Rhinolophus ferrumequinum: one gene and its partners. The protein of the gene in region 1 purifies or fractionates together with the protein of each later gene. This does not show direct contact. Links are inferred from orthologs where the notes say so. Each region holds a gene or a part of one and is shown in the gene's direction. Other genes may lie near its edges.

The links.
Region 2: the proteins of melanoma-associated antigen D2 (region 1) and GNAS purify together in Homo sapiens (affinity purification with mass spectrometry; 3 studies listed by BioGRID, counting the BioPlex papers as one, with this or other methods). This does not show direct contact. The link is inferred for Rhinolophus ferrumequinum from reciprocal best matches to the Homo sapiens genes MAGED2 and GNAS.
Region 3: the proteins of melanoma-associated antigen D2 (region 1) and C1QBP purify together in Homo sapiens (affinity purification with mass spectrometry; 3 studies listed by BioGRID and IntAct, counting the BioPlex papers as one, with this or other methods). This does not show direct contact. The link is inferred for Rhinolophus ferrumequinum from reciprocal best matches to the Homo sapiens genes MAGED2 and C1QBP.

What each region holds. Positions count from the first base shown.
Region 1 is NC_046284.1:81,175,740-81,185,847, reverse strand, and holds the start of melanoma-associated antigen D2, read left to right. Parts: upstream 1-5,851; 5' UTR 5,852-5,965; exon of another isoform or gene 5,966-6,040; intron 6,041-6,513; exon of another isoform or gene 6,514-6,592; intron 6,593-7,249; exon of another isoform or gene 7,250-7,382; intron 7,383-7,462; 5' UTR 7,463-7,491; coding exon 7,492-7,536; intron 7,537-7,909; coding exon 7,910-8,401; intron 8,402-9,005; coding exon 9,006-9,314; intron 9,315-9,431; coding exon 9,432-9,495; intron 9,496-9,752; coding exon 9,753-9,832; intron 9,833-10,108. UniProt on the Homo sapiens protein: Regulates the expression, localization to the plasma membrane and function of the sodium chloride cotransporters SLC12A1 and SLC12A3, two key components of salt reabsorption in the distal renal tubule.
Region 2 is NC_046306.1:3,450,109-3,460,407, reverse strand, and holds the start of GNAS (guanine nucleotide-binding protein G(s) subunit alpha isoforms XLas), read left to right. Parts: upstream 1-6,413; coding exon 6,414-8,292; intron 8,293-8,511; coding exon 8,512-8,631; intron 8,632-10,299. UniProt on the Homo sapiens protein: Guanine nucleotide-binding proteins (G proteins) function as transducers in numerous signaling pathways controlled by G protein-coupled receptors (GPCRs).
Region 3 is NC_046304.1:12,970,673-12,981,085, reverse strand, and holds the start of C1QBP (complement component 1 Q subcomponent-binding protein, mitochondrial), read left to right. Parts: upstream 1-6,527; 5' UTR 6,528-6,613; coding exon 6,614-6,839; intron 6,840-7,443; coding exon 7,444-7,594; intron 7,595-8,167; exon of another isoform or gene 8,168-8,769; coding exon of another isoform or gene 8,770-8,982; intron 8,983-9,705; coding exon 9,706-9,799; intron 9,800-10,413. Other genes in the region: ATP-dependent RNA helicase DHX33, read left to right, coding at 2,538-2,846; RPAIN (RPA-interacting protein), read right to left, coding at 8,770-8,982.

The sequences.
Region 1 (10,108 bases):
TCCTTGTCCTAAAAAGTGAGCAGTTGAAGTTATCTGTCAAAAATGGATGGAATAAAGAATGGAGGTCTGAGTATATTTTTTTCAAGTTACAAAATTAGCCAAGAACAAAAAAGAAATATCAATGTTGAACACAGCAGGAGAGTAAAGGGAAAAGTAAGGTGGTGTACATAAACAAAAATCTCATTGACATACTGGGGAGTCAATAGGATATAGTCTAAATTTTATAAACCAAGAAACAGAGCATATACATGTTATTTAGAGTTGTGAAGAGAACAACCAGCACAACTAAAACCAAAAACTGTTAAAAGGTTGCTTTGAGGGAGTGGGAGGGAGAAGCAGAGGGTCAAGGCAGGGGACTGCTGGTTTTTATCATAGGCTTTTCTACCCTGTTTGATTTGTTGCCATGTACATGCATTACTTTAATAAAGATAAAATTCTAAAAAATTACGTTTATCTCACAACAACAAAATAATTATATATCTTATGACACTTTATGACAGTATCAAAATGGGTGTCTGAATATCCAGTTAGACTTGCCTGCACAGAATAAATTCATACTGTAATGCGTCTTATATATGTTTATGAAGAGGGTTGGAAAGGATATCCTGGGACTGAAAACATTAGAGGTAGTAAAGCATAGTGGTGAAGGCTCTGTTATATGGCATCACACTGACCAGGGTTCAAGTCCTCTCTCTGCCATTCACTAGTAGCTTTGCTATGGGCAAGTTACCTCCCTTACCCCCAATTCTGTCCTCTGTAAAATGAGGCTAATGTTCATACAGTAGGAATGTAAGCCCCTCAAGAGCAAGGACCACCTTTGTAGAGGTGCCCGATACATAGTTGGTGTTCAATGTCCATTGAGTGGCCTGAACCTGCCTCATACGTGCGTGCTGAAGTAGAACTCAATGTCCAAACAGCAGGGTAGAAGGAGTATTAGTCCAAAAATGGGTAGCCAGTCTCCTGATCTATGGGAAACTTGCCTTTGGTTTAACACAATGTAGTCATTTTTGTCGTGGAAAGATAGCGCTCAGGGCTTAGAGTGATACAAAATGAATTAAGTTGTCCTGCACACAGAAGGAAGAAAAAAAATGAGATTCTACCAGCAGCTCAAAGAGAGGACAGAGGATCCTAGAAATGGAAAGGAAGGGGGATTGAACCCTCTGTATGTTGGGGAGCAGAAAGGGCCCAACAGTGATGGAGAATGGGGCCCAGGAGAAGGGATGGTTAGTAGGCCTTTCCCAATGGTAGGAATGGCTGAGGAAATGTGAGCCACAGGAAAGTCTGATGTCCCACTTTAAGTCGATTGCTATGCGGTACTGTATGATTTAGATGATGAAAGAAGTGGTAGGTAACCTTGGAAGGAAACCTTTGTCATCTGTTCCCAGCCTCACCTCTTTTCCAAAATTCAGAGATATTGATTTTGTATAGTTTAGGGGTGATGAGGATATTCTGGGCTTCCCATTTAAGCTTCAGGGGTCTGAAATCTTGAGTGCCCCAGTATTAGGCAGTTTCACCCCCTGACACCCCGCACTCAGCAATCTTCAGCCTGTCTTTCCTTATCTGTTGAACAGAGCTGCCTGGTGATAACTCAGCTTTTCATCTCTTCCCTTAGTGGATATGTAGGATCTACATGACCTCAGGTATTTGCCTGCTGATATATGGATACTGAAAACCAGTCTGGGACTCAGTGACTTAGGTTCTTCAGAGTTTATGAGTAGATGCTGAAGACCAAAGGATTCTTCTTCCCACCCAGGAGAAGGTGGGAAGAAATCTCTCTGGTCAAACGGTGAAGATTGTGAACGAATTTGTCTTTTTTCTCCTGATAAGGTTTCTTCCTGTCCTGTGATGCCGAGGTCATACGATAAAGATGGTTATCGTCTTGTGTTATGAAGGTGGTGGCATTGAGAGGGGACTAGAGAAGATAGGCTTTGAAAATCTTTGGGAATGTCTCTCTAATGGACTTGGACTGAGATTTTGCCCGAGTTCCTTGAATCCAGTATTTCCTAATGTTCTGACTCTGTATTCCTTTAAAGTTACCCCAGGGTCCCAAAGGTCACAACCAGGACTTAAACGGTTGTGGAATTTAAAATGTTGGAGGTTGAAACAGAGGTTAGATGTAACAGAGGATGTTCCATGTGGAAGAAATCATATGAGCAAAGGCTCCTAAGCAAGAGAAGGCAGGGCACATCTGATAATAGTGAAGTTTTTTTTATTGATTAGAATATAGGCAGTGGTCAGAAAAATAGCAAGTGGTCAGAGGTAGATTTTGGGAGAGCCTTGAAATCAGGCTCAGGCATTTCTTGAAAGAGTAGTCTATACACATTGTCATGATACCTCACCTCACATCTCAACCTGCTGCAACCAGGAAACTATTGCATAGCATAGACTCCAAAATAACAGTGGCTTAAATAAGACATACATGTATTTACCTCATCTAAAAGAAATCCAGACGTAGGCAGTCCAAAGGTGGTAAGGTGGCACTATGAAATTGTTAGAGATCCAGTTTCTTTTTAGTTTACTGCTCCACTATTCTTAGGGTGTTACCCTTGTCCTTATGGCCTTTATTCCAGGAGGCTATGTGTCCCCCTAAAAATCAGATGTTCTATTACTAAGGAAGAAGAGGAGAATGGATATTGGGGTAAGCAATGAGCAATCTGCTACAAATCTCTGTACTGAAATTATTCCCTCCTAGGTCACCAGAGACCAGACTACCATCTGATTGTTACAATACCTAGATATTTTTTTCCAGGCCTTTTCTTGACCTATTGGTAGCATTCAACAATACTCACCCCTCCCTCCTTTTGAAACATTCTCTTCCCTTGGTTTTGTGACACTACATTCTCCTGCTTTTCTCCCTTCCTCACTGGTCACTATTTATCCATCTCTTTCATGGGCTCCTTTTCCTTCACCTATGCTGTAGTTGCTGCTGGTCACCAGGGCTCTTCCCTGGATGCCATCTCTTCTTTTTTTTTTTTTTAAATTTATTGGGGTGACAATTGTTAGTAAAATTACATAGATTTCAGGTGTACAATTCTGTGTTACATCATCTGTAAATCCCATTGTGTGTTCACCACCCAGAGTCAGTTCTCTTTCCATCACCATATATTTCATCCCCCTTACCCTCGTCTCCCACCCCCTACCCCCCTTACCTTCTGGTAACCACTAAAATATTGTCTGTGTCTATGAGTTCTTGTTTCTCATTTGTTTGTCTTGTTCTCTTGTTGTTTTTGGTTTATATACCACATATTAGTGAAATCATATGGTTCTCTGCTTTTTCTGTCTGACTTATTTCGCTTAGCATTATACTCTCAAGATCCATCCATGTTGTCACAAATGTATCCTATATCATCTTTTCTTACCGCTGAATAGTATTCCATTGTGTATATATACCACAACTTCTTTATCCATTCATCTATTGAAGGACATTTTGGTCGTTTCCATGTCTTGGCCACCGTAAACAAAGCTGCAATGAACATTGGAGCACACGTGTCTTTATGGATAAATGTTTTCAGATTTTTTGGGTAGATACCCAGGAGAGGGATTGCTGGGTCATAGGGTAATTCTATTCGTAATTTTTTCAGGAACCTCCACACTGCCTTCCATAACGGCTGGGGTGCCATCTCTTCTAAGGGTACACATTCTTCCCAGGTGCCCTTGCCCTTTCACATAGACTAAAACCATTCATATACTGGCGACTCCTAGATCTATAACCTCAGCCCAGACCTCTTTACCGAACTTCAGGCATATATAGTCAACTGCCTGTGAGACATTTCCACTTGAATGTCCCACAGATACCTCAACATCAATGGCCAGTTCCCCAACATTAGTATTCCATATATCAGTAAAAGGGGTTACCATCCACACATTTGATCTCTCAAATCAGATCCCCCAGAGTTTCCTTTGACATTTTCCTCACCCCTTTCTCCACATTCAATTATTCATAAAGTCTTGTTGCTTTTTATTTCTTTAGTATCTTCTGAATTCCATCACTTCTCACCACCCCCACTGCTACCACTCTAGGCCAAACCACAATTATTGCTTATCTGGATGACAACTCTCCATCTTTCCAGGGAGATATCTAATCCATACTACTTATGGATTAGGCAGCTAGGGTGCTCTTTCTAAAACACAAATTTATGTCGTATTCAAGCCTAGAACCTTTCAATACCTCTCAGTGTTCTCAGGATCAAGACCAAAGTCCTTATCTTGGCATTCAAGACTTGCCATGCTTTGGAAGGAATGGGAAATTTGGCGCACTAGAACTGGAAGAAAAGGAGGGACTGTGTCTACTGTGAAATAAAGCCATGCAGATTGGGAGAGAACCGAAGAGGTAAGAAAGTGGTGAGCTGGTATCACAAACTTGGAGGAAGCAACAATTAAGAGAAAGAGAGGAGTCAGGAGACTAGAAGCCCATCTTGAATATCTGGGAAGAGTTGTATGTATGTTGAATTATCCACAGAACATAGGGATTCATGTTATTTTATTTGCTTTGTAAAGGAAAAGGTGACCACATAAAGCAGACTCATGACCATTTGAGTTACTTTTGGATGTAGGAAAATTATTGAATATTATTTCTGCAACTGACCACTGTGCTAAATTTTATTATGGTTTCAAATAACTTTTTAGTTGATGCTCTTGGGTTGCATTCATATGTTCTGTAATTAATGATAATTTTGTCTACTTTTCATTATTTATACATCGTATTTTGTTCTCTTGAATAGACACAATTACTTATGTGGATTTATTATATGGTAAAGGTGCCATTTCAAATCAGTGGGGGGAAGATGGATTAATTTGCACATGGTGTAGGGATAAGAGACTATGATTTCGGAAAATAATTATGCTGAGTCCTTACGCAAAACAAATTTTGGAATGATCAAACATTTAAATGTAAATAATAAAGCCATAAAAGTGCTTGGAAAAAAACTGGAATTGTTATAATATAGGATTGTGGAAAGCATCTCTAAGCGTGAAGCAGAATCCAGTTGTGATAAAGCAAAACCTGATGATACATTTCACTACATAATAATTAAAACCTTTTGTACAGCAAAAGTTATCATAATTAACATAAAAAATGTTTGTCACATATGTGACACAAACATGTGAGAGACGTTGTTAGTGGGAATGTTATTCCATGTACCTTTTGACAGTAAGTTGACAAATTTTGTATCAAAATGGAAGACTTTTTTGTAGCATTTGAGTCAGCAAAGAATACCATCAATAACAACAACAACCCAAAACAGATTCTACAAGGATGTTCCTTGTAACATTGTTTGTAATAGTAAAAAAAAAAAAATAGTAAAAAAAAATTAATAATAAAATAAAATAATCTAAATGTCCATGTATCCTGCACTGGTGAAATAAATTATGGGACATCTATACAAGAAAAGATTATGCAGGTATCAAGAAAAATGTGCACTATGGAAAGCTGCTTAGAATATATGAGTGGAAAAATAACAGGTTACAGAACAGTAAGTATAGAGTACCATTTGTGGGCAGAAAACTCAAATAATAGGTATATGAATATAAAAAAAATCTGGAGGAATGTATATCAAAATGTTAATAGTGGTTATATCTGGGGGATGAGATAAGGGTGGTCTTTCATTGGTATGTTACATATTTCTGCATTATTTGAATTTTCACAACTACAACACATTATCTTTGTAATAAGAATAAAGATATGAAAATAAATAAATTGAATGAATGAATAGCTTTGAGGGTCTAGTTTTGGTTGGAAGGGCTTCAGACCGAGCCTGGTACAGTGGCATAAACACGGGCTTTGGCGTCAGACAGCCCGGAGCGGGGCCTCATTGCCCCACCCCCGAGGAAGGAGAAGGAGGGGTGGCAGGGGGCTGCGGAAAGGGGCTGGGCTGGGCTGGGCTGGCTGCAGCTTTAGTGCTGGAAGCTTTGACTTCGAGAGGGACTGAGAGGGGAGAGACGCATCCCAGACTCGCTCGTGGACAAGGTGAGGAACGCTGAGATTGGGGTTTCCTGGCAGTCAGACAGTGGTTCCAGCCCCCTCGAACCTGCAGCCAGGCAGGTGGGCAATTCTTACTGCACCACTGCATCTGGGGGTGGGGCGACCTGGCGTGGGATGTAGGCAATCAGGAGGACAGAGAGTAGTAGGCTGTACGGACCGGGAAGCAGAGACTAGTGGAAGAGAAGGGGGAGAAAAACGGGAAACCGGGGATGTTGGGTGGTGGATGGGGAATATAAGGGGGAAGGGGAATACTGAGGGGAAGTGGAAATCCAGAGAAGAAAATATGGGATGCAGAGAAGGGTTAAGGAATACTGGGGGAGGGGTGCATAGGTAACATGGAGGAGGATGCAAGGAGGGGGAACAGGGAATTCTTTGGGGGTAAATAGGAAATGCGATGGGGAAATAGGGAGCAGGAAGCAAGGCAGAGGGAATACGGAGGGGGGTATAAGGAATGAAGAAAAGGGAGCGGGGGAAGGGCAGACTGGCTGAGACGGAGGCCCCCTAGGGAGGCGGAAAGGGGCGGGACCACTTCCGGCCTGGAGAGGGGAGGGCAGTCTCCGAGTTTCGGAGGGGCTCGGAGAGAGTGGTCGCACTCGGGAATTGTAGGACGAGGTGAGCAGCAGCTGGGCCCAGTTCTGGATAAGAGCCCGGTAGGGCTCGGCCCCACCCTCTGGGATCTAGAGAAAACCTGCCCTAAGGACCGGATCTTACCGGATCCATCCGGCTGGGAAGGGTGGGGATTGGACCCAGTTTGGCTGGACCCAAGATGGAATCACTAACTCAGTACAGATTTGAGGAGGGGGTGTATTAGGGAAGGGGCAGAACCAAGATGCGCTTTGCCCCTGTTTGGAGGGGGGCGTGTTATGAAAAAGGGCGGGATCGGGTGGTACTGTGGAGTTGGGGTGGGTGTGAGTAGGGGAGGGGCCGCGACCACCAGACACTAACAATTTGAGAGGGAGGCTTGCTGGGGAGGGGGCGGGACCTAATGCTGCTGCGGACCTGAAGAGGGGCGTGTGCTGGCAAGAGGGTGCAGGACTAAGCCCGTGACTATTGCGCATGCGTACTATGGATCGCTAGAAAAGCGTGTAGTGAAGGGCCCGCTCTGAGACGGGCCAGCTGCCGAATGCGCATGTGCACGGTGGACATCAAAGAAAGGGCTTGTGCTGGGAAAGCGGGCGGGGCTGAGATGGGCCCTGCAGCGAACGCGCATGCGCACTGTCGATCTGCGGCCGGGTGGGGGGGTGCACTGGGAAAAGGGGCGGGGTCCTCAGAGCTGCCGCGCTGGCACATCTTCCTGGAGAAGGGGAGGGTGGGGCTGCAGAGAATTGAGACCTGGACGTTGTGGATTTCTACTGAATCTGAGAACGGAGTCTCTGGGGTGGGGATTAGAGCCCTAGGAAAGGTGAGGATCAGCCTCCAGGCAGAACAGGATATAGGACGTTCAGTGGGCTCTCCCCTTGACCCAGGACTTCTCTCCTTCAGACTCAGCTCTTGCCAGGCCAACTTGAGACATGTCTGACACAAGTGAGAGTGGTTCAGGTCCAACCCACTTTCAGGTAAGGCCTCCTTCTGCCCTCTCCCTACCTGCTTTTCCTCTCCAGCCCCTGTTGTCCTAAATCCTTTGGCAACCCCCTCCCGTCCTTGTCCTTCTCCACCCACTTCCTTGCCTGGGTGCCTTCCACCCCAGTAGAGGGAGGGAGGAAGGAACTAAAGAGGGAGGGAGGAGGACGGAGGGCCGGCAGGCCCACCCCTCTTCTGCCATCAGTTCCTGCTCAGAGGAAGGGGAAGCCTTGTTGGGCTGAGGTGGTCAGAGCATGCTGCAAGTAGGAGTTAGTATAGGTCAGAGAAGTGAAGGCCTGGAATTTTGGAGCCATTTGCCTAGTTGGGGATGGGGAGAAGTTCCGCAAGCTTCCCTGCTTTGTCTTGCAGACTGAAGCTTCAGAAAAAGACAGTGACTTGAAGATGCAAACCCTATTAACAGTGACCCAGAACTTGGAGGTCTCAGAGACACCGAAGGCTTCAAAGGCACCAGAGGTCTCAGAGGCTGTGAAGGTCTCAAATGCTGCAGGGGTCTCAAAGGCCGCAGAGGTCTCAAAGTCCCCAGAGGCTCAGGAGGCAGCTGCCACTCAGGTCTCATCTACTACTAAGCTGACAGATACCCAGGTTCTGGCAGCTGAAAAGAAGAGTCCAGCAGCTGACACCAAGATGCAGAATGCTGACCCTCAGGCTGTGACAATGCCTGCCACCAAGACCAAAAAGGTCAGCTGTGTGGCTGATACAAAGGTCAATACAAAGGCCCTGGAGACTGAGGCTGCTGCCTCTCAGGCTCCAGAAGATGAACCGGAGCCTGAGGGTGCAACTGCGCAGGCTCAGGAGAATCAGGATACTCGGCCCAAGGTCAAGGCCAAGAAAGCCCGAAAGGTAAGACCTTTGCAGTCACTGCCCTAGTCTTTCCATTCTTCTTTCAGTTGGTTTACTTGTTCTGCAAACATTTAGAAAGTTCCCCAAGGCTATGGGGGACACTAAAAGGAGTGTGATGCAATTTCTGTCTTCAGAGAGCTCTCGGATTGGTGGGGAGATGAGACAGGAATACACACAGCTGCGATCTGAATGTAACGCAATTTATTTTTACATAGTAGCTACCTTGTGTTAGGCTTTGAGCTAAGCACATTCACACAGGTTATCTCTTAAATTCTAAAAGTAATCCAGTTTTATAGAGAAGGAAGCTGAGTCCCAGAGAGGTAGAATGACTTATCCGTGGTGGTTCAAGCAGAGCAAGTAGTGGACATAGGAAGAGGAGACGCCTCAGACTCCACCCTTGGCCTGGTTGCTCCTGGCCTGGTTCACAGATGAAACTCCTGATTGGGTGCCAGTGAAAGACAAACGCAAGATTTAGCATGGCCAATGTCTAGTGAGTCAGGTTATTACAGGAGTGGGATTAGAGGGGGCTTTTGGAAGATATAGGATGAGGAAAAAGGACCATCTACTTCGTCTGGCAAAGTTGTGATCCTCTCTTTCGATGTAGGTGAAGCATCTGAATGGGGAAGAGGATGGCAGCAGTGATCAGAGTCAGGCTTCTGGAACCACAGGTGGCCGAAGGGTCTCAAAGGCCTTAATGGCCTCAATGGCCCGCAGGGCTTCAAGGGGCCCCATAGCCTTTTGGGCCCGCAGGGCATCACGGACTCGGTTGGCTGCTTGGGCCCGTAGAGCTTTGCTCTCCCTGAGGTCACCTAAGGCCCGTAGGGGCAAGGCTCGCCGCAGAGCTGCCAAGCTCCAGTCATCCCAAGAGCCCGAAGCATCACCACCTCGAGATGTGGCCCTTTTGCAAGGGAGGGTAAGAACCCTGTCCTCCCCACTATGCCTTATCCAATGCCTTGTTTGCCCTCTTCAGCATCCTTTCAAATCTTCTGCAAACATATTTTGATCTTTCCATCTTTTCCTCCTGTTTCAGGCAAATGATTTGGTGAAGTACTTGTTGGTTAAAGACCAGACGAAGATTCCTATCAAGCGCTCAGGTAGAGTCCTGTTAACCCTCCCTCCCCCTAGCTCTGCCCTCCATCACCCTCTTCCCCGCATGCTGGGAGCATTCGTTGCTCTCGTGCTCCTACCTCTGTTCTCCCAAAGTTCTAATTTGGCAGTGCTAGCATCTCTTCATTAGGTTAGCACCTGTTTATGTCACCGACAACAGGGTTGGCAAAGGGTCTATAGTTTGGGTATGGGGGTCACCTGGTTTCATTTCAGCCCAGGTGCTCGCAATACTCTCCCCTTGCAGACATGCTGAAGGACATCATCAAAGAATACACTGATGTGTACCCTGAAATCATTGAACGAGCAGGCTATTCCTTGGAGAAGGTGAAGGGGCAGCCCTGGGGGATGGACAAAATGGGGAAGCCTTGAATCACACAAGGGTGCACATGGCCCTTCTCGGGGAGGGGAACCACAGAGACTCGCTAGCCCAGACCCATCACTGTGCAGATGGGCAGACAGTGGCCTAGGGAGGTATATACACTAGCCTGGGGTCACACAGCAAGTCAGTGGTAACAGCACAGCTAGGACTCAAGCCACCCAACTTAGTCCCGGCTTCTGTTTGCTGCTGGGTATGTCCTATAATGTATTTCAGATGCTCAC
Region 2 (10,299 bases), on another chromosome or scaffold:
ATTGTAAACAGAGCTTCCACTAAAGCCAAATGTATCTTCCCGGATTCCCTCCCCCTACATCCCAGCCCCCACTTTTACCCCTTACTCCCCCTTCCTGTGGCATTGTTCATCTTTTCTGGAATGGCCACTTCTCCCCTCGAAATTCTCTGCTGCATCACCAGCGAGCCTGGAGCAAGACTCCACAGCCCAGTTCTGGCAATGTGGAGACTGTCTGGACCCACCATACAAGCACGTGTGGTCAGAGGACCGGCTCCTGCCTGGCTGCAGCAGAACTGGGTAGCCCTTCCAGGATGAGGGCTGAATACAGCTAGTGAGCCCAGTGAAGGGTCTGATTCATGGTGGGGGGGCCCTGGCCTCGGGGCTCCCGCATGGGGCTTTTTAATCTGAGCAGAACACCTATTTTCCTAAGTCTGGATTCCACTGCTTGAATGGCCGCACTGCATCTGCCCCTAACGCTCATCCATTCGAGGCATATTTCCCTTCAGGGGCATTCGTCTGAAACAGCCTGGTCACGCAGACCCTTCTGCAGGCAGCAGTATGCTGCTGCTGCCTCCACCGGCCGAGGCTGGCAGAGGAGATGCTGGAAGGCAAACGGATGGGCGCAGCGAGTCTGAGCTGAACAGTAATTAATTGCACAGCTTCAAAGTCTTATTGCTACTCAGTCAGCACTCAGAAAACATTTGTCTCCGGGAGGCTGGGAAACGTAATAGTTGTCTGAAGTCTCCTATGTTCTCTCCTTTTGCCTTTTCCTCATAACTGGTGAAAAGATTCTCCTTTTCCTCATTTCACCCACTGACAACTAATGGCACGAGTGGGCTGCAGAAAAGGCTTTTCTGCAAATCCCCCCCCGCAACGCCACAGCTAGGAGGTAATGCCACCACCCCAAAAACCTCATTTTTCCTGGTTTCTGCTCCTTCCCCTCTTACCGGTCTCCCCTCCCTCTCAAAGGACCCTCCTCTACTTTGTCTTTCTTGGATACAGGGCTGAACTATAATAAGAAAGAAGTTTGACAGGCAGCTCCTGAAAATCTAGATGTGCCTTGTGCATCTGGCAGTCAGAATTCCCAAATGTAAGTATACTAATAATTGTTTGCTGATTAGTGTGCTGGCGTGGAGGCGTCCATTACTGGGAAGCCCAGGGCGCCACGTGGGGCCACCAAGGAAGGAGGCCACATCTCTGCAGGTGGCAGTGGCGCCGCTGTTCAGTCAGCAGTGAAGGAATCCCTTCTTTCCATTTGGGGTTCCCTATTTACAGAAAGCCAGCTGATCTGCTGCCTGTGGCAGCTGGGCCATTTGGTCTGAACAGGCTGCCTTTCAGACAGGCAGAGTTGAACTGAGACATGGTAGCGTTTCCCATTGCATTCTTAATTCATCAAGTGTAGAAAACTGCTTCTTTTTCAGTAGCTGGAAATGAGCAAACCCTCACCTGGATTCTGACAGCCAATCCTTTCCTCCTCTCATGCCCACAGCATCTCACGGTAGCCCTTCACTCTCACACTCCCTGTAGGGACAGGGTCCAGATGCTGTCACGCAGCCTCTGACCTTCACCCCAGCTCAGCCTTCTGGCAGACACCTGACTAGCCTCTCTTGCCATCCTCTTCCTGAACTGCGTGAACCCATTAACTGACTTTCCTTGCTTGTTCCTTCTCATTCCTATCAAATATTTACCTCTTTCCCTGATAGAAAACCACCCAGAATTGGAAATCGGTGCTTAACGTACTTGGCTACTATAAAACTACAACGGCAGATCCTAGAAACTATGTCCCTAGCGGGGTTAGACCCGGCCTAGGCTGCCCACAGCCACTCATCCCCAGCCAAGTCCATCTGTCTTAGGCCAACAAGATCACCAGCCCTGAGCGGGCTCCCCAGGCAGGCCCCCCAATCAGAGTGGCCCCAGCAGCCCACCAGCTGATCAACCCCAGCTCTTACCATGCCAGATTCCTTGAGTCCCGTGGCCAGGCCACCCAGCTGCCTTTCTGGTTAATCAGCTCCTCAAACATCTGGCCATGCTCAGGGGGTCTCTAAAGTCGCACTGCTGATCTGCGGTGGAGTTTCACTCACCCAAGAGATTTGGGGTTCTCAGATTCTGGGGGGCCAGTCACTGCAGAAAAAATAAACAGAAGCAGACAAAAGGACCATCAGAGTTAAGTACTGGAATTTTTTCTTCTGGTCCTAATTTACCTTTAAATTAAGGTGATTCCTACTCAAGTCTACAGGGTCCTTCCTCAGACTATAGCAGTGGTTTCAACTGGGGGGCGATTTTGCCCCCCAGAGGACATATGGCAAAGTCTAGCGACATTTTTGGTTGCTACAACTAAGGGGATGCTACTGGCATCTAGTGGGTAGAAGCTAGGGATGCTGCTAAGCATCCTACAGTGCACAGGCAGTCACACTAAAGCATCACCTGTCCCCAAGGTCAGCAGTGCAGAGGCTAAGGAAGCTCCTTTAAGACGAGATCTGCTGACCGATTCTTAAATTCTTCCCTCTGGTCTGAGCCTATGGGTCTCTTCCTAGCCCCACTGCTCTCTTCTGTGATGTCCTCTCTAGTACCCCCAAGTGTTCAAGATTCTGTCACCAAATCTGTTTCTCCCCTTGAGGGTGTTTCTCATCCAACGATTTCATCTTAATGAGGATGACCGTCACTTTGATCTTGGGGTTGTCATCTTTCTTCTGAACTTCAGACCCATCCTAAGTAACAGGCTGTAAAGCTCTCCATCCAGACTGCCCATCCTTCCTTCACCTCTGCCATGTCTAAAACCAAATGGCTCCGCCACCATGCCAACTCCTCCCCAGATCCTCCCACACGTGTCCCATCACCCAGGTGCCAAATTCTGTCTCCTCCACTTTTTGTGCCATTTTAGCACAGAAGTTGCTAGAGGGTCCTTTAGGATCCCTCGAGCCCCTCTCTTCGGCCTTCCTGCTTCCTTTACTATGTGTGGTTCTCCCTCCCTTAAAGGTTATGACCAGCCACAGCCCCTTTTTTTCTCATCAGGACCATCCTCCATACTGCCTTAACCTCTCCTAAAACTAGCCTCAAATTCTCACCTGCAGGTGTTGAAAAACCATCAACACCTCCATTTCCAACATAAATAGCCTCAAAACTTGTTGTTCTGATATGCCATAGTATTCTTGGAGAGATCCTATCCAATTTTTCATGACTTCTCTCCCACTGGTCCTCCAAGACCTGACACAGTGTCCTATTCTCTTTACCCAGCTCTGTTTCCTAGCATCTTCGTTCATGGTCAGCCAACATCTCCTATCCCCGCCACGTTCTATTCATAGCCAAACCTTCTGTCCCTCCATGGAGGCACATTTGAAATGCCACTTTCTCCATCAAGACTTTCAAGATCCCCCCAACTGGAGGTCTTTCATTCTATGTTGCTTACCCTTTAGAATGGAGGGTTGGTATCTATCTGCCCAGTCTTAACTCCCCTCAATGCATGTGCTCTCCTGGCAAAGAACCAAGATACCAGAAAGTGTGTGTTGGACAAAGGGGTCCCACAGGCCTACGGGGATGTCAGAGACCCGGTACCCGTTCATTGAACAACAGTGCTTTGGGAAAGAGCCCCAGTGAAGTGGGCCAAGCGCGAGGCCTGGCGAGAGCAAACCGTCCCTTTGGGGCCCCCATCACGGCCTCCCTGGGGCTCCAACCCCAACGTCTACTGACCTTCCACTTCGGCAGAGCTCAGCATCCCTGGGGCCTCAACTCCTTATCCATCTGGGGCTGCTCGTCTGCCTCGGAGCAGTAAGCCCCCTCTTTCTTCAGGGTCCTGGCCCTCTATCTCCAGGCCCTGGAAAGCCTCCTTGCCCCGGCGGCGGTCCCGGGTATTGGGTGTGTTTGCCCACCGCCATCAGTGAGACCCTGGGTTGGCCCCTAAGAACCCTCAATTATCTTTCCAGCATTTGTGAGTTTTGGAGTCAGGAAGAGTGACCGCCCGGCGCCAGCCGGCCTCGTGGCGTCCCACGCTTGGCCGCCATACGCCGGCCCACCGACCGCTTCCAACTACCCCAGCAGCACAATCTCTTAGGACGTTCTAACGCGGCGCCCCCTATTGGACCTCCCACTCATATCCGGTTTCCGGTCCGACGCCCCCTGCTCATTCGCCAGGCAGCATTGATTGGCGTGACCCCAACCCAATGGCTGACCCAGTGCTGGGGTCGGAGGGGAGTGAATTGACTGAGGAGACCCAGTTGGCCCATTCAGTGGATGCCCAAATGGTTGAGCCGTTACGCGTGGGTATAGTTGGCCAAAGTTTGAACTAAAGTTCAGTGTTGGCATTTGGAAGTGTGTAGGTCCAAAGAGCTGAGGTGATACACCTTTGAGGGACCTCAAACGTTACCCAGGGTCCAACTTTGTCAGTTTTTCTCTGTGCAGCGCGGCAACACGGTTGGCAGACGCGGGGGCAGTGCTGCGCTGTGGATGTGGTCTCGTTCTGAAAGAGACGTGTTACACTTAATGAGATTGGATCATGCGTGGTTCACCCGCCTGCGGCTCGTAGATACAGCGATCCAGGCGGTGTGCCTCGCTTGCCGCAGCCCATCCACTGGTACACTCATCCGCCGGGCTGCCCGCCCGTAAGCCAGGTGTCCACCTGCCCCTGCCCAGCTGCCTCGCGCCTAAAGGTGGCTCTCAGGTCTGTGTCACCTGCTGGCGAGACAGACCTGATACCCATGTCCCGGGTTTTACGTGATCCGCAAGCAGCAAAATTTTCCTGGGCTCAAATCCTACTGCAGACCCCAGAGCCAGAGCAGTGCGCGCGCACGCGTCAAGCCCACCCAGGTAGTGTGGGTATTTACCCCCACTAGCTCTGAGCCCACCACGCGCTACGGAGACGGGAGCGCAGCAGGGCGGCCGCTGGGTTTTTAGCAGAGCTTAGTGCCACCTCGGCGGGCTACAGCAGTTGGAAAGTAAAGCGGCTGCCTCGGGAGACTCATAGCGAGAGAAGAGGGGCTGGGAGGGGGCTAGAGAGGAGCTAACGGAAGGAACAAACTGATCGACCCTGCAGCCGGCGCCCGAGGCAGGAAACAGCGCACCGCGGCCGCGGTTGCTGGCACAGCACGGCACAGCAGGGCACGATGTGTCTTTGGGTTCAGTGCGCAAATGGTTGACCAGTCTCTGAGACCACTCTAAATCAGCCATTAACCCCAACTGAAATCTCCTTTAACCCTGCCCCAGAGCAGTAGGAGCCCCGGAACTCTGAGGCCTGCACTCTGTGGGGTCCCCATGCGCATCCCGCGCCCCCCCCCCCCCGTTATGTGCCGCGGTGGCTACCAATTAGAGGGTCTCCGTGGTATGCGCCCGAGACCCTCTATTTCCCTGAATCATCGTCCACGTAAATCGGGAGAATCCAGCCTGCGCCATTCAAAGCTCCTGCGAAGACCCCCCCTCCTCCCCCCAGAGCATGGTGGGTACGGGGGACATTGAAGTGCTTTACAGGAGCCAACCTCGGCAAGCCGGAAAACAAAAGCTGCAGAAGCGATGGAAAGTACACTAAGGCATTTAGAACACCAATTGTGTGCGCACACGGCATCACCTCGCCCCTCGCCTCCTGTCCTCTCTGAAAGTGGGCTCACGACCACCTGTCGCATCCTCGTGCATGCTGACACCCCTTTCCCATGCGCCCAAAGCTTTGCGCTCTGGATTTGGGGCTCAGGATCGAAGGCTGCCCAAGGCTGGGGGCTGCGGCTCAGGTGTTCAGGGGTAACTTGGGGTGAGGAAAACATCATGCAATTCCCCCTCCCCCAAGGAGAGTCAGTTGGGTCTGGGAGGGAGGGTTTCAGCTCCTGCGCTCAAGCAGCCCGGGGCCCACGTCTTGCGTCACGTGTCCCGCAACGCAGGAGAAGGCTCTCTCTCTGGCCAGGGGAGAAGAGAGGAGAAAGACTCCAAATCAGTCAGGGAGAGCAGTGGAAAGAGCCAAAACGTCCCAGCGGGGCCTGAGCTCAACAGCCCCCTTACCCAAAGTCCGGGGCTCCCGGCGCCAGGAACCGGCTCCCAGAGCCGCCTGGCCACCAGCCGGCGTCCCCTGGTGGCAGAAAGAGAGCACTACGAGCGATTTTCGGACCGAATCGACACGCTCCTCAGATCCAAGCAGGCGGGGCTGGCCTGGAACACAGAGAGAGAAAGAGAGAGAGGAGGGGACAAGGGCAGGCCAAGGGGGGGCCAGGGGCTGCCTGAGGGGATAAAAAGTGGCCAAGAAGAAGCCAACACTCCACCAGCAACAATAGAGTTGCTTCTGCCACAGTCTAAGGTTTGAGGCCCTGAACCCCTAGACCTCAGGAGGGTTGGAAAGTGAGGTTGGAGAACTTTCTGGCTGGTACTTTGATTTTTTTTTAAGATATTTTTTTCACCCTAGTTCGGTTGGGTGCTCCGTCTTACGGGGCCCCAAGTTTATTTTAAGAGTTCGCCACCGTGTTATGGGCGTGTGCAACTGCCTCGACGGCAATAATATGTCAGGACAACGCGATATCCCCCTTGAACTCGGGGAGCAGTCCGAGCAACCATCTTTGGAGGCCCCAGGGGCAGCTGCCCCCAGTGCTGGGCCTAGCGCAGCCGAAGAGATGGAGACCCAACCGCCTAACAGCGAGCCCGTCCCCATCGAGATTGAAGGCGAGGCATGTGGACCCCCAGAGGTCTCCAGGCCCAACCTCCAAGGCCTCGGCCAGGCCATCGAGGAAGCCGGAGCCCATGGAGGCTACAGCCCACCTCCTGAGGAAGCCATGCCCTTCGAGGTCAAGCAGCCCAGCTTGGGAAGCTTCTGGCCTACCCTGGAGCAGCCTGGAGACACCAGTGGGGCCCATGCAGGCCTCGAGGCTTTCAACTCAGCGCTCGTGGAGCCCAGAGCCTTCTGTGAGGCCAGGCCAGGCCTGGGAAGCTACAGCCCTCCACCCGAAGAAGCCATGCCCTTTGAGTTTGAGCAACCTGCCCAGGGAGATTGCTGCCAACCTCTCCTGCAGGTCTCAGACCTCGCTCCAGGAGGCCCAGGTGTGGGGGTCCACAGCACCCCTTCTGAGGAGCCCCAAGCCCTCAGGCCTGCGAATGCAGGCTTCAGAGGAGGCTGCAGCCCTCCCCCTGAGGAGGCTATGCCATTTGAGTTTGATGGAGCAGCCTTTGGGGACGACAGCCCACCCCCTGGGCTCCCCCGAGCTATCCTACAAATCGACGGCGGTAGCAGCAGCCAGTTCACGGGAGTTGCGGTGCCGAGTGCGGTCCTCCTCGCTCCCGCCACGAGCGAGCCCCCCCTCTGGGTCCCAGGCGCCATCGCCATCGGCAGCCCATCCCGAGAAGCTGTCAGACCTCCTCCGCACTTCGCTGGCGACAGCCCCCCGATGGAGATCCCCGGACCCCCGCTCGAGATTGGTAGCGCCCCCGTTGGGGTCGACGACGCTCCCGTCAACATGGACAGCCCCCCAATCGCGCTTGATGGCCCGCCCATCGAGGTCTCCCGAGCCCCAGTTAAGAGAGAGCGAGCAGAGGGAGAGAGACCCCCAGTTGAGGGAGAAGCAGCCGAGATGGAAGGAAGCTCAACCGCTGCTGCTGCGGACGGAGGCCAAGTCCCCTCTCCGGGCGACGGAGCTCCTGCCACTGGGGACGCTCCAGCCGCCCCTGCCTCTGCTGCCACCGGGGCCGCTCCAGCCGCCCCTGACGCGCCAGACGCCGGGACAGCCCCAGCCGCTCCAACCGCCGGGACAGCCCCAGCCGCTCCAGCCGCCTCTGACGCGCCAGCCACCGGGGCAGCCCCTGCCGCCCCAGCCGCTCCTGCTGCCCGGGCAGCCCCTGCGGCCCCTGCCTCCGGAGCCCGCCCCAAGCTCCGTTTCCTTAGACCCCCCAGCCCCGAGATCCAGGCTGCCGATCCGCCTACTCCGCAGCCTCCTCGCGCGTATGCCTGGCGGGGCAGGTCTGAGCGCAGCCGCGGCCGCGACGACGACGAGGGGTCGGTCAGCAGCGACGACCGCAGCAGCGATGAATCCGACGATGGGACCTTCGGATGCCATCGCTGCGTGCAGCCCCGGAGAAATCGCCGCCGCCGAAAGCCCCGGCGCAACTTGCTCCGCAACTTCCTCATGCAAGCCTTCGGGGGCTGCTTCGGCCGATCTGAGAGCGCCGAGCCCAAAGCCCCACGCAGCCCCAAGGTCAAGAAGATTCCTCTGGCGGAGAAGCGCAGACAGATCCGCAAGGAAGCCCTGGAGCAGCGTGCTCAGAAGCGCGCAGAGAAGAAACGCAGCAAGCTCATCGACAAGCAACTACAGGACGAAAAGATGGGTTACATGTGTACGCACCGCCTGCTGCTTCTAGGTAATGCGGCGGACTCTGCCCGCGGGCAGCAGGGCCGCCGGGGAACCCGGGAGGGGGTGGCAGGGCTGCCCGGTGGGGCTCGGGCCTGGCGGCGGGAGGAGGGGGTCTGGGCAAAGGCGGGAATAGCCTGCTAGAAAGTTCCAGTGAGGGGCCCTAACTCTGCCCCGGGAGGGGGGTGGGCTCGGGTGGGCTTGGGTGGCCGAAGTATGTGCCCTCCAGGGAGAAAAGTGGTGCCGTACAACACTGAGGGTCGTTTCCAGCTGGACAAGCCAGCGCCAGCGACCGTAAGACGACCCCGAGTCCTGGGGTGGGGGCCGGCAAGGAAGGCGGGGGCTTCAGGTGAGCCAGGAACTACCGGGGAGGGGCCTCGGGGCTCCCCAGGCTAGGCTTGTTGGGGCCGTGGTGGGCTGGGGTCGTGGGGAAGGTGCGCCCCGCCTCGCCTCGCCTGGCACGGCTGCTTGGACTCAGACAGCTTGTTGGTGTGTGTTGGTGTCCATATTGTGTCCGCCTGTGCATGATATGCTCAAGTGTCTCCCAGTTCCCATCCCTGGCACCCCCAAATTACCCGCCGACTGTGTACTTGTACTGGGGAATGGGCTGTCTTGTGTTGTGCGCCATGGCGCGGGCAAAAACTTTCCGTGTTCGCATACTCTGGTGGTTCCTGTGAGCTGGCGCTCTGCAGCGGGCGGCGCGAAAAATGCGGAGAAAAGGTGGTGGGACATCGGGGTAATATGTTGGGCAACTGGCTGGGGGGAGAGGGGGCCGCTTCCCGCTGGCCTCCATAACCTTTTTTTCTGTATGTCTTTCTCTCTTTTTTCCCGTTGCGCTAAGCGTTTCCTCACTTCTCATTCGTTCGCCAAACTCTCCCGCCTTTACGGTTGAAAAACCAGACACTCAGGTATCTGGGGCGTCCCGGGCTGCACACACGAGTTCGGTATTCTGCACACATTCGGCTCACCTGGTGGGGGGGATGGAGGGATGAGGGGGAAAAAACGCATAACCTGCAGTAAAGCAAGTCTGGATCCAAAAACCACGCCAGGCTTGTTCCGAGGGGGTGGGCGTGGCTATGTTTTTAAAACATGAAATAATTTTTTTCCTAGGGAAGAGCCCGAGGTAAGCCAATCATTTACACTTTTACCCTAGTACAGTAGGAGGGGCTTGGTTTACAAAGAGGGGTTGTGCTTTGGGAGTGGATTGCCGTCTTATGTTTGAAATGCAATTAAAATAAAACTTTTTCAAAAATGCTTCGCGTGTATTTTAAGTGTGTGGACAACATGTGGTAAAACTGTTGACTGAGTTGTGAAATATAGAAATGTTTGCATGTGAATCTTTTCAAGCAGCTTGAGCTGGGGGAACAGAGGCTCGAAGGTAAGATCCTCTGCAAATGGGCTTGGGGAAAAAACGTGAAAGTGTGTTGTTCATAATCATATTAGAAGGGTACATTTGGCGGCCCTCTGCCTGCCCCCTCCCCTCTCCAGGACCCCCTTCCTCCCCCCACCCCTGCCAAGGCCCCTCCCCCTGCTCAAGACTCCTTAGCTCAAATCTGAGGTGTTGACTCCTGTGCCACAGTTAATCAAAGCAGCAACTAGCAGTGGTCTGCATGTGTGGCTTCAATGAAAATGTCCAAAGTGCAGCTCCACAATCTTAATTTCTTTGTTATTCTCTAAGACCTTTCAAGGGATTTGAAGATCACAATTTCTGAGGCTTTGCGACATTTGTTTGTTCAATATTTTATAATGTGTGATGGCTTTAATTAATGGCATTGTGGACGTACCTGTGCGCTGTTGTGATGTGCATCTCTCACAAATCAGTTTTAAATGTGATGGTCATTTATGCCCACCCAGGGAGAGCATGACATCATCGTTTTCCCAAAAACATACAGGAGGAAGGTAGTTTTAAATTTCAGATGTCTCAAGTGCACTAAAGCCTCAGAGCCTCAAAAGACAATGTGCTATTTCCCTGCAGACAACTGATTTTGCCGTAATGGTCCCTTTGCAGTATTCCAAG
Region 3 (10,413 bases), on another chromosome or scaffold:
AGGATTCTTCCTAAGATTCTTTTTAGTAGAAATGTTTAGTTTTTCAGATTACAAAAGCAGTGCATAATTGTTACAAATTGATACAATACAAAAAATAATAATACATAATGCAGAAAGTTTCAAAGAAGTATCCATAATACTGCCCTCCAAAGACAAACCACTGTTAATAGTCTGGTGTAGATCCCTCTAGAATTTTTTCGTGTGTGTGTGTGTGTGTGTGTGTGTGTGTGTGTGTGTGTGTGTATGTACATATACATCGATACACACATAAAATTTTCTTTTTGAAACAAATATGATACACATTTTGTTTTGCAACTTGCTTTTCTCCACTTGGTAGACTTCTTGAATACTTAGTGTGCGTGGGCTGTCTTTCAATGTCTGTATGTGTCTGAATTTTTTTAGTGACTTCATAGCATTTCATTGTATCCACATTTTACTTAACCAAGCCCCTAATGGTGGTTATTTAGATTATGTTGTAATGATATGTTGTGGCTTGGGATCGCTTCTTCGCCTTTTGGCTAAGATCAAGTGTTTGTGGCTTGGTGTACATAGAATGAATGATGAATTCATGGATGGTGGATTTAGGTCTTGATAGTTATTGCCAAATCATCTACTAATAAGTTTTCTATTAGCTTGTATTCCCTTTTAGAGTAACATCACGTTTTAAAGTCCTCTCATGTGTCTGTGTATTGATTGTATGACACTCCACGTTTTACCTCAGAGGTAGGGGAGAGGAGTAGTTTACATAAGCATGTGCTGTTGGACCTGGAAGTGCCCACTCTTTGCGGTCACAACAACGCTGTGGTGGGTGTCTGTGCCTCAGGCCTCGTCTGAGACTGCCCCTCCCTGCAGACATCTGCATGTCCCTGAGAGCGAGCTCTTGCCTGTTGTCAGCCTGTTAATACTAAAGCTATTTCTTTTCATAGTAGCCTGTTGTGTTCTGAATTTTACTCATTTTTCCAAATGCCTCTTGCACTTGAACAGTTTTCCTGCCAGAACACCTCTTGGCTTCATGAGTTTTCTCAGCTTATGAATGACAGTAGAAATGGTGTTCCTCTATTAGTTCTGACTTAGGACGCTTTAGTGGCTGACCGCTATATACCAGACACAGGTCTCGGTCCTGGGGTTTTACAGATCTGCCTAAGGCTAAGTATCTTACAGAACAATCCAGAGGGCAATCTGACATATACATACGAATAAGTGATGTGAGGAGCCGATAATGATAATTGCCTTTGTTTATGAAATACGGCACCCTAAACACTTTTCATGTATTGCCTTACTTGATATCCTCACTTCACTCCTATAAGGTTGATTCTGTTATTTCTCCCATTTTACAGATGAGGAAACTAGAGCCTAAGGAAGTTAAGTAATTTGTCCCAAATCTCACAGCCAGGGAGGGTGGAGCTGGCAGTCTGGAAGGTGAGAACGCGACGTAGCTGTAGGACTCTGGGCTTCCTGGAGGTGGTGGCACTGAGCTTATCCTGACAGATGAGGCGATAGTGTCTTCATCCAAGAACAGAACCCCTTGAGCCACCTTAAAGGGAAAAGGTGGGTAGGGGATAAAGAGGTGTCTCTGGGAACCAATGGGCAGGAAATAATCCAGCCTTCAGGGACTGGAATGAAGAACCAGAAAAGGCTGTCAGGAGCCAGGGCAGCTTTCTCTATGTCTGGAGCCATGGCCTCTAGTTGGCTGCTCTCTGCATACCTCCTTCCCCCTTCTCACCTTCTACCTCAGACTCCTTGCCCCAGCCTTTCACTCAGGAGACTAACGGGCTTGGTCAGATTTCCCATGTTCAGATTCCAAATGCCTGGAAGAGAGAAGCTCGCCCAGCGTGGGTCAGGCAAGTGCCTGCCACTGGTCGGTTCAGCTGTGACCTGGGGTGTAAGGTGACACGACCTGCTCAGGACACTGACTGACGGCTGACACCTCCACTGTGGGGCTGAGGGGCGTCTGTCTGAGGAGTGGCCGGCGAAGGCCCTCTGCCTGGGGAGAAGGCAGTTGATTGCGGAGGACCTCCGCGTGTTGAGGCGGCCTCATTCACGGCTTCGCAGTGGGCAGCTTGCCTTGCGTTGCCAGAGCGGGAGGGACGCGGAAGGTGTTTGAGTGGATGAGGAGTGGTTCGAGTTGCGCTAGAGGAAGATGAATGTGGCGGCAGTGTATGAAATGGGTCGGAGTGAGGAGATGAGGAAGGAAGTGGTCAGAGGGAAGGGCCTTTCCTTCCCGGGACGTCCTGGACGTTTCCGTGGGGGGCTGAGGACTGGCTCATAACCTGTCCGTGGTCTGGCACCTCGAGACCCTCTTGGCCCGCACTCTCCCAGGCTGCGATTTTCCTATTTTCAGTCCACTCTCCTTCAACCCGGCCCTTCCTCGCCCTGCTGATGGCGGAGGCAGGTGAGGAACCCCGCCGAATGGCAGCATCCACCTTGTCAGGCTTGCAGTGGGGGCTGCCTTTTAGCTACAGGTGTTCCGAATACCGTGCCGTGCTGAGCGGTATCTGTTTGGGGTCTCTTCCACTTCTCGCTTCCTCCTGAAACAGATGTCGATGCCCACCGTGTCGTGCCGAGGAGACATGGAGAGCGTCCGCCGCTGCCTGGCTCACAGCCTCTTCATGAGCAGCGCGGAGCTGCAGCTGGACGGCACCTACGCCACCACCGACACCCACCAGCCGGTGGCCATCCACCCCTCGTCCGTCCTCTTCCACTGTAAGCCCGCCTGCGTGGTGTACACGGAGCTGCTGCGCACCAACAAGTGCTACATGCGGGACCTCTGCGTGGTGGACGCCCAGTGGCTGTGTGACGCCGCCCCCGAGTACTTCCGCCGGAAGCTGAGAACCGCCAGAAACTGAGCCGCCGAGCCGCTGGCGGCGCTGCTGGGGCCTGGAGCTGGGACCTGGAGCTGGGACCGCAGCCGTCCTGTCCTCGCCCCTGGCTTCCAGCGTGGCGCCTGGGGAAGCGGCTGGTTCTAATGCAGCGGGCCGTGCCCGGCTCCAGGAGCTTGCAAGCATCTTTGTTTAACCTCTTAGGACGGAACCGTGTAGACATCTACCTACCATTTATACCTTTGAGATGTCGGAATTATGCTTTCGGTTCTTGCTGGGCGATGTAGTTAACTTCTGAGCCTCAGTTTCCTCATCTGCCACGTGGGGGTAATAATACTACTTGTAAGGTTGGTGTCATGAGGTTTAGAGAAAATGAAAGTATCCCTTTCATTTCACATCAGCGCTGTGCCTGGCGCGCAGTGAACGTGCATGAGGTATTATTCCTTTTTACATAATGTGAATGGAGTACAACAGAATCCCGAGTTCTCGTCACTAAGGGGGACTTTCTGGGAGGGGACCATAGGCGGTCACAGAGCTCTGATGTTGTCCTTCGATCTATTTTAATGTCTAGCTGTATGAAGTTTTTAAATAGAAAACATCGGAGATTGGCATCTGCAGAAATTTCAGGAGGGAGGGGCTGTTGCCTCTTACCTGTGGGCTGGCCGCCGCTGTTGAGCCTCCTGCCCAGTGTGTGGACTCCTGCCTCCAAGCAGAGAACAACAGTACAGGAGAGCTCGCAGGTTCCTGAGCGGTGCCCCCTTGCCCGTGGTGCCTCTGTGGCACATGTCCCCATCCGTGCTTTCAGGACCCGTGGAAGTTTCCCAGGTGAGGGTTGCTTTGTATTTTTTAAATCGTGATGGCTTCCAGCATAGCCAGTTGCCATTTTCTCTGTCACTGGGTCCATGTAAATATGTGAGCATAAGGAATGGCTCCGTGCTATACTTCAACTATTTCTTTCCTGTCAGAGCCCCTGCTCAGCTATTGGGGTGGGTGGAGGGGAGAGACGAAGGGTCAGTGAGAACCCAGACAGCATTAGCGCAGCTCGTCCCATCCACCTCATCTGGTGTTTATATTCTTAGATCTTATTTATTTTCTATGATCTCTTTTTCTTCTTTGGGACTTGGGGACAACTTGCCTTTGCTACTTCCTAACCGTGCCAGTCACTCCTCTCTAACCCTGTTTCTACTTTTCTCAGAGGGAATTAGGTCTTCACAGTCTTTCTGTTCTCATTTTGAGAAAGGAAAAGACACTAAAGGTTCTTCTTGGCTGTTTAATTATCGAAAGCAAATGATTTTTCCCCTGATAATGTTTTGCCCTAGAAGAATCCAAGACTTAGCCCTTTTATTGTGCTTAATTGGTCTAAACACATGTGTGCAGTATTTTGGTCATTACTTAAAGTGAACCATGCAGTTTATAGGCAGGGGGCTAAACTGAGAGACTCTTCAGCGACAATGGATGGTCTCTTCACTCTGGATCCATTGAACTCTTCTCCAAGACCATAGCCTGCTGGAGCTCATTTTGGGTCTCATCTGTTCATGCTTGTGTATGTTAAGCCTGGCTCAGGCTTTCGAGCAGTAGCCGTGGCCCTGAGAAGTCAAGCTTTCATCTAGTGTTCAGGGCTGTATGGGCACTTGTGATTTAATTATATTAGGAACAGTTACGTTTAGGCTAAAGAGGATTCCACAGATCCTATATACCCTGTCTTATTGAATGCTTAGACTTAGCTGGCTCTTCCTCAGATTGACTTGTTTTTACTGTTGCAAAAGGTTTTTAAAGTGTGTTTTTCTCATTTATTTAATAGAGGCCTAGGATGTTTAGCCTGACTGGGTAAAAGAAAATATTTTTAATAAAACATTCATCATGCTGGTAAAAAATAGGGAGTGGGCTGATTTATCATGTTCCTCAGCCAATTCTCTATGGAGAGGTGTTCTCTGGGGCAAATAAAACTTAGAATAATTTGTGTCCAACTTAAGTACCTAAAGAGTTTCTGGAAATATAAATTCTTTTCTGAGCAGGAATAGGGATAAATACCTTCTAAATAAATGTAAATAGCTTCTAAGTAGCTTTAATGTTTCTGTACAGAAATATGTTTATCATTGTAACATTCTGGTAGAGTTTTAATACAGTAGTTTTTTATTGGGCTTTTTAAAAAGTTAATTTTTAACATAGCTGCTCAGGGATTAAATCAGATTAGAAAACCCATTCTGACTCCACAAATTACAACAAAGAAATAAATGGTTATTTATATTGAGCTGCAGGGGACAGCACATTTTAAACTTAAACTTTCTTAAGAAAGTTAAATGTTTCACAGTAATGTTGCAATATCATCTTGAGCTACTTTTTCCATTCGTCAAATTTACGATGGTGTGACACCTCTTCTAAACTGTGAAACCCATATCTGCGCGAATCACTAGCTCTCACAAGCATCTTCAAGCAACTGGCATGCCTCAGCTGTCTTCTAGTAACGATGGAGCCTGGAACATCCAGGGCACTGAGAACAGACTTCATTATGGGAAAGAACTGCCAACAGCCGGTCCTTGTTAAGAACCCTTACTTAACGTTGCATTTCTGCTGGTTGTAAAACGATGCCAGAATGGAGACAAGTTTTTGCTCTGTGGGTAAAACTTTTTATGTACCATGATACATACATTTAATCCAGCTATCAAGAACTGCTTGGAACCGTGGCCAGGCATCTTGAGCATGTAAAGGAACACTGCATCTGTGGGGGAGCAAGGATTTGATTATATTTGATCAAAATATTATAACCTGCAGAAAAAGAAACCAGAAAAATCAAATTGATTCTGGTTTGTGTTGTATTTTGAGAATCTGGTCTTGTTCAAATAGACACAGCTCTATAAAAACATCAGTTCTTGTATATAATGCTCAAATTTGCACATGATTTACATCCATTAAAAGTGAATCTTGTACATGGTGTGTATGGCTTCTATCTTGAGTCTTCTTTCACTTTACAGAATGCTGTTTAGAATATATTGTTCATCTTAACTTTGCCACTAATTGGGGAAGACTCACTTTTTTGGTACCTTATATATCCTGTGTGTCCTGTTAAAGTAGGAACATCGGTTCTTAACCTAAATCTGACGTAAGCCATGGCTTCTTGCACCCCCCAAAATAATGTCCCATCAGAATCTGAGAGCAAGGTTAAGGTTGGAGGGTATGGAGAGGGAAGGTGGCAGGAATTAACCAGGGATCCTGCCCTTCGGGTACTCCTAGTCCGGTGGGGGTGAGGGGAGGCTGCCAGGTAAACCAGCAGTGCCAGGAGGTTTCTCCTGAGAAAAGACTGAAGGGTAGCGGCGGGGCATGCGCCGGCGTGAGTTCCTATCACGGAAGAGAGGAGGAGGTTACAGGAAGGCATCTTAAAGGAGATGACCTTGAAGGCTAGTCTTTGTAAGCTGTTGGAGGTGGCAAGAGTGCGTTCTGCGAAGTCACAGCCTGGCGTGCTTTCAGACCAGTAGATGGAAATTTGGAAAGTGTAAGCAGCTGCTGGAGACAAGTGATGCTGGCGAATCAAACAGAAAGCTGCACACCAGACTCAGGCCTGCTGATCAGATAAAAAGTTAGCTACCGGATTTGAGGCCTCCCCCGGACGCTGCTCAGGAACGCGCCGCCCCCCGCCCCCAAGCAGAGGGGGCAGTCCTACCCACCGCGTTTGACCCGCAAAGCGACGCTGCGGAAGCGTTTCCTGGTCGAGGGCGGGACTTCCGGCGGTGAGCTCGGTCCGGTTACGCCTTGGCCCGAGTCGTCCTCAGCCGCACGTGTCCGCTGCAGCTTTCGCGATGCTTCCTCTGCTGCGCTGCGTGCCCCGAGCCTTGGGCTCCGCCGTCGCCGGCCTCCGCGCCGCCGCGCCCTTCCCGCCGCTCAGGCCGCTGCTGCAGCCCGCGCCCCGGCCGTGCGCCCGGCCCTTTGGGTTCCTCAGCGTGCGCTCGGGATCTGCGCGACTGCCCAGCCTCCTGCGGCCTCGCAGACCCTGCTCCTGCGGCTGCGGCGCGCTGCACACGGAAGGTGAGTTCGCGCACGTGGGCCGGGGCCGTGAGGGGTAGATTTCCTGAATGGGGTGGGGGTCCGGGAAGTGTAGACCACGAGTGGGCCGCCCAGAGCGGCCCCGCGAGGTCCGAAACGTTTTCCCAGTGTTGGGCAACCAGAGGATGAAACCCACGTGTGATCACATTTCCCCTTTTTCCTGTCCGCTAAGTGTTTCATTTTAGGGTGAGATGTACAATTAAATCCTGGAAACCGACTTTAAACTTAGTCTCAAAAATGGAATTTAAGGAAGGCCCAAGGTTGTGGTTGAAAGTAACGTGGTTATGACTTGGCGAGTGGGAGAAGGTAATTGGGAACTCGTGCTTTGTGTGAAACGTGGTAATGATAATGAGTTCGTTGTTGCAAATCACTTTTCCAGAATATAGCTCGGCTTCCCACTGACAGTATTACAGCATTTTTACAGAGAAGGACACTGAGGCTTAGTGGATGTGAGTTGGACTAAGTTCCCAGAGAATGATTATTAACAGTCCAAGTCCAGATTTCTGGCTAGAGTAACCCGGGTCATTTGTACGTTTTAAACTGATGGGCTTTTCTTTTTCTGTATTTTAATGGATTTTCGTTGTAGGAGACAAAGCTTTTGTTGAATTCCTGAGTGATGAAATTAAGGAGGAAAAGAAGATACAGAAGCATAAGTCTCTCCCCAAGATGTCTGGAGGTTGGGAGCTGGAAGTGAATGGGACAGAAGCCAAATTAGTGCGGAATGTTGCTGGAGAAAAGTAAGTATGGTGGGCTCCAGGGGCCTAAACCCATGTCCCTGCCCCAGGTCATCCCCAGAACAGCTTGAGTTAAGGCAGGTACTTTGATACATAGTTTCCAAGAGACAGAAGGATTCATTTGGATAATTTCCTAAGTTCCTGGTAGTTCATTCATTGCACACAAATTTCCTGTGGGCTGGTTACTAAGGAGACAGTAAGGAGGTAGCACAAAAGCATGTAGCGGTGCCCAGCAGAAACAGCTCATTCAGTAAACCCCTACTGGTGGCGGAGGCCATGCCCTGCCTCTAGGCATGCACATTCAGAAATTCCTATCGTAATGACAGCATCAGTTAGATCGCAGGTTTACAGTGCTTGATTCACTACACTACAGGCTCTGAGTAAAACAAGGCCCCTGCTTCCTGATGTTTACAGTAAATGAAAATGCAAGACATGCAACTCATATGGAACAGGATGAGATTCCAGTGTAGTAAATGGTTGTCATTAGAAGGGTGGGGAGCTTTTGACCTAGCTTAGCTCTTTTTATGATCCGTTTCGAGTGGATGTCTAGATATGTTTCTGAAGTAGGGTTCTGGCTTTTTTTTTTTTTTTTTGGCGTAGTGGCATATTGTGTTTTTCCCCACATATACAAGTAGGTCAATTCTGTAATTTTCACCTAAACCGTTTTCCTAGGGTGAGTCATGGCCAGTTTGGGGGCATTATAAATTATGTTCTAAGACGGGTGTCAAAACTGCGGCCCATCGGTCAACTGTGGTCCACAATCCATTGTTAATTGGCCCGCAGGACATTCCAAAAAGTATATTTAGTTTACTTAAATAAACCAAGTGAGGCAATACGTACTTCACCTCGAGTAAGTGGCCCGGCTGTTTGTTTGTGTATTTTACCGAATATGGCCCTTGGTGAAAAACATTAAAAAAAGTTTGGACACCCCTGTTCTAGGAGCTCAACTTGGTCATCACATTGCAGATCAGACAGATTTTGTGGCTGAACCTCAGACCGTCATTGTTCTTATGGGAAAGCGGCTTCCTAGCAAGGCAGCTGGTTGGCACAGCTCCCGAGGCCACACGTTTACAGTGTGCTGTTGTGTGCACATAATGCCTGCTGGAGTTGGGCAGCCCAGCAGTGTTTCAAATCTCACATCACTTCTAATTTTGACTCAAACTTTGGAACGTGATTTGTTAGGTGGATTCTTGTACCTTGAAATTGTTCATTAATTGGTGTTTCTGGCCTGCTTTGTGGTTATAAAACTTCCCACAAGTACTCTGAAGAAGGACTGTACTGCAGCTTATTGTTCTTTGTGAGGCTTCCCCTTCCTGGGGCCAGGGCTGCTCTTGGTCCTTAGCTGATGCAACCCTCCAGTGCTCCTTCCTTTCCTCCAAGGGGCAGATTTTCTGATGGAGAAAAAAAAAGCTTTTTAAAAGAGACATCTATTCCATCCCACCCGCTTCTCAGCTGCTCATTGCCGCTGGAAGATGCCCTGGAAGGACAACAGTGAGCAATGTCAGCTGGCTGTGGCCATGAGACCACCAGTGGATACAAGATGGCAGTGAGCCCTGGGATGCTGGCCTGATCACACATGCTCGTTTTAGCTGAGATAAACTGGGGCCTGTTAGTTTGACTTCCAGCAGATGGCACATAGTAGGCACACTTGAGACCTGCTGAATCCATCTTAGGTAAGATGTAGGCACCCAGGCTTTTCTGGAAGGTCTGTAAATAATTCACATGTAAAGACAGCTAGGTTAGAGACTTTGTTTCAATACATATTTTTAACTAGCAGGTTTCCATACTTATTTAACTACTCAGTTAAAACTACCCTGTCCAGACGGGGGAACTGGTTGAGGAGCTGGGTGAAAACGGTGAAGGGATTAAGAAGCAGTACAAATTGGCAGTTACAAAATAGTCATAGGGACGTAAGTACAGCATAGCATATATATAGCCAATATTGTAATAACGATGTATGGTGCCAGGTGGTTCCTAGACTTATAGGGGAACACTTCATAAATTATATACATGTCTAACCATGCTGTACACCTGAAACTAGTATTGAATGTCAACTGTAACTGAAAAAAAAGAGAACTATATTCTTTCTGATGTGTTTTCTTTTGCCTTTCTAGGATCACTGTCACTTTCAACATTAACAATAGTATCCCACCCACATATGATGGGGAGGAACAGCCATCCCAAGGGCAGAAGGTTGAAGAACAGGAGGTAAGCTTGTAACCCTATAACCAGCCTTTACCTCAGAATTCTGATAGGCTGTTCCCGGGGCTTAGAGGAGCAGTGTTTTTGTTTAATTTCTCTAATGCTAGAGAAATTAAGAGAGGAGAATGCAAAGGATAACCATCCTTGGGACTTTTACTTGCAGAGCAGCAGTTTCCTTTGGCCCCAGGGATAATGTATGGCCCCTTTTCTTTCCCAGGGACTGAGTAAATTACCATCTGCAAGCTTCGGATTTATAGTTTGGCCTGTGTTCTCCAAATGGAAAGGAATGGAAACGGTTTTAACCCTTCCACAATGGGAAGGTGTTTGATAATCAGAGATTATCATTTGGAGTGTTGCCAAGTGAGGGATGTTCTAACACATCACAGGCTGGTAATAAAAACACCAGCCACTTAACCAAAGTAGCAAAGCCAGGGGCATCAGATTTAATTTAACACCAGAGATTTTGGCAACGTCTTTGCTTATGTTGCTGGCCCTGTTGGTTGGACCTGGATGGTGACCAGACTTCAAACATTTTAGGAAGCGGTGTGTCTAGCCTAGAAACCAGCTGGTATGAGGGCCACAGGGTCTCCAGACTTTCTGACTAAGCAGGCATCTGTATT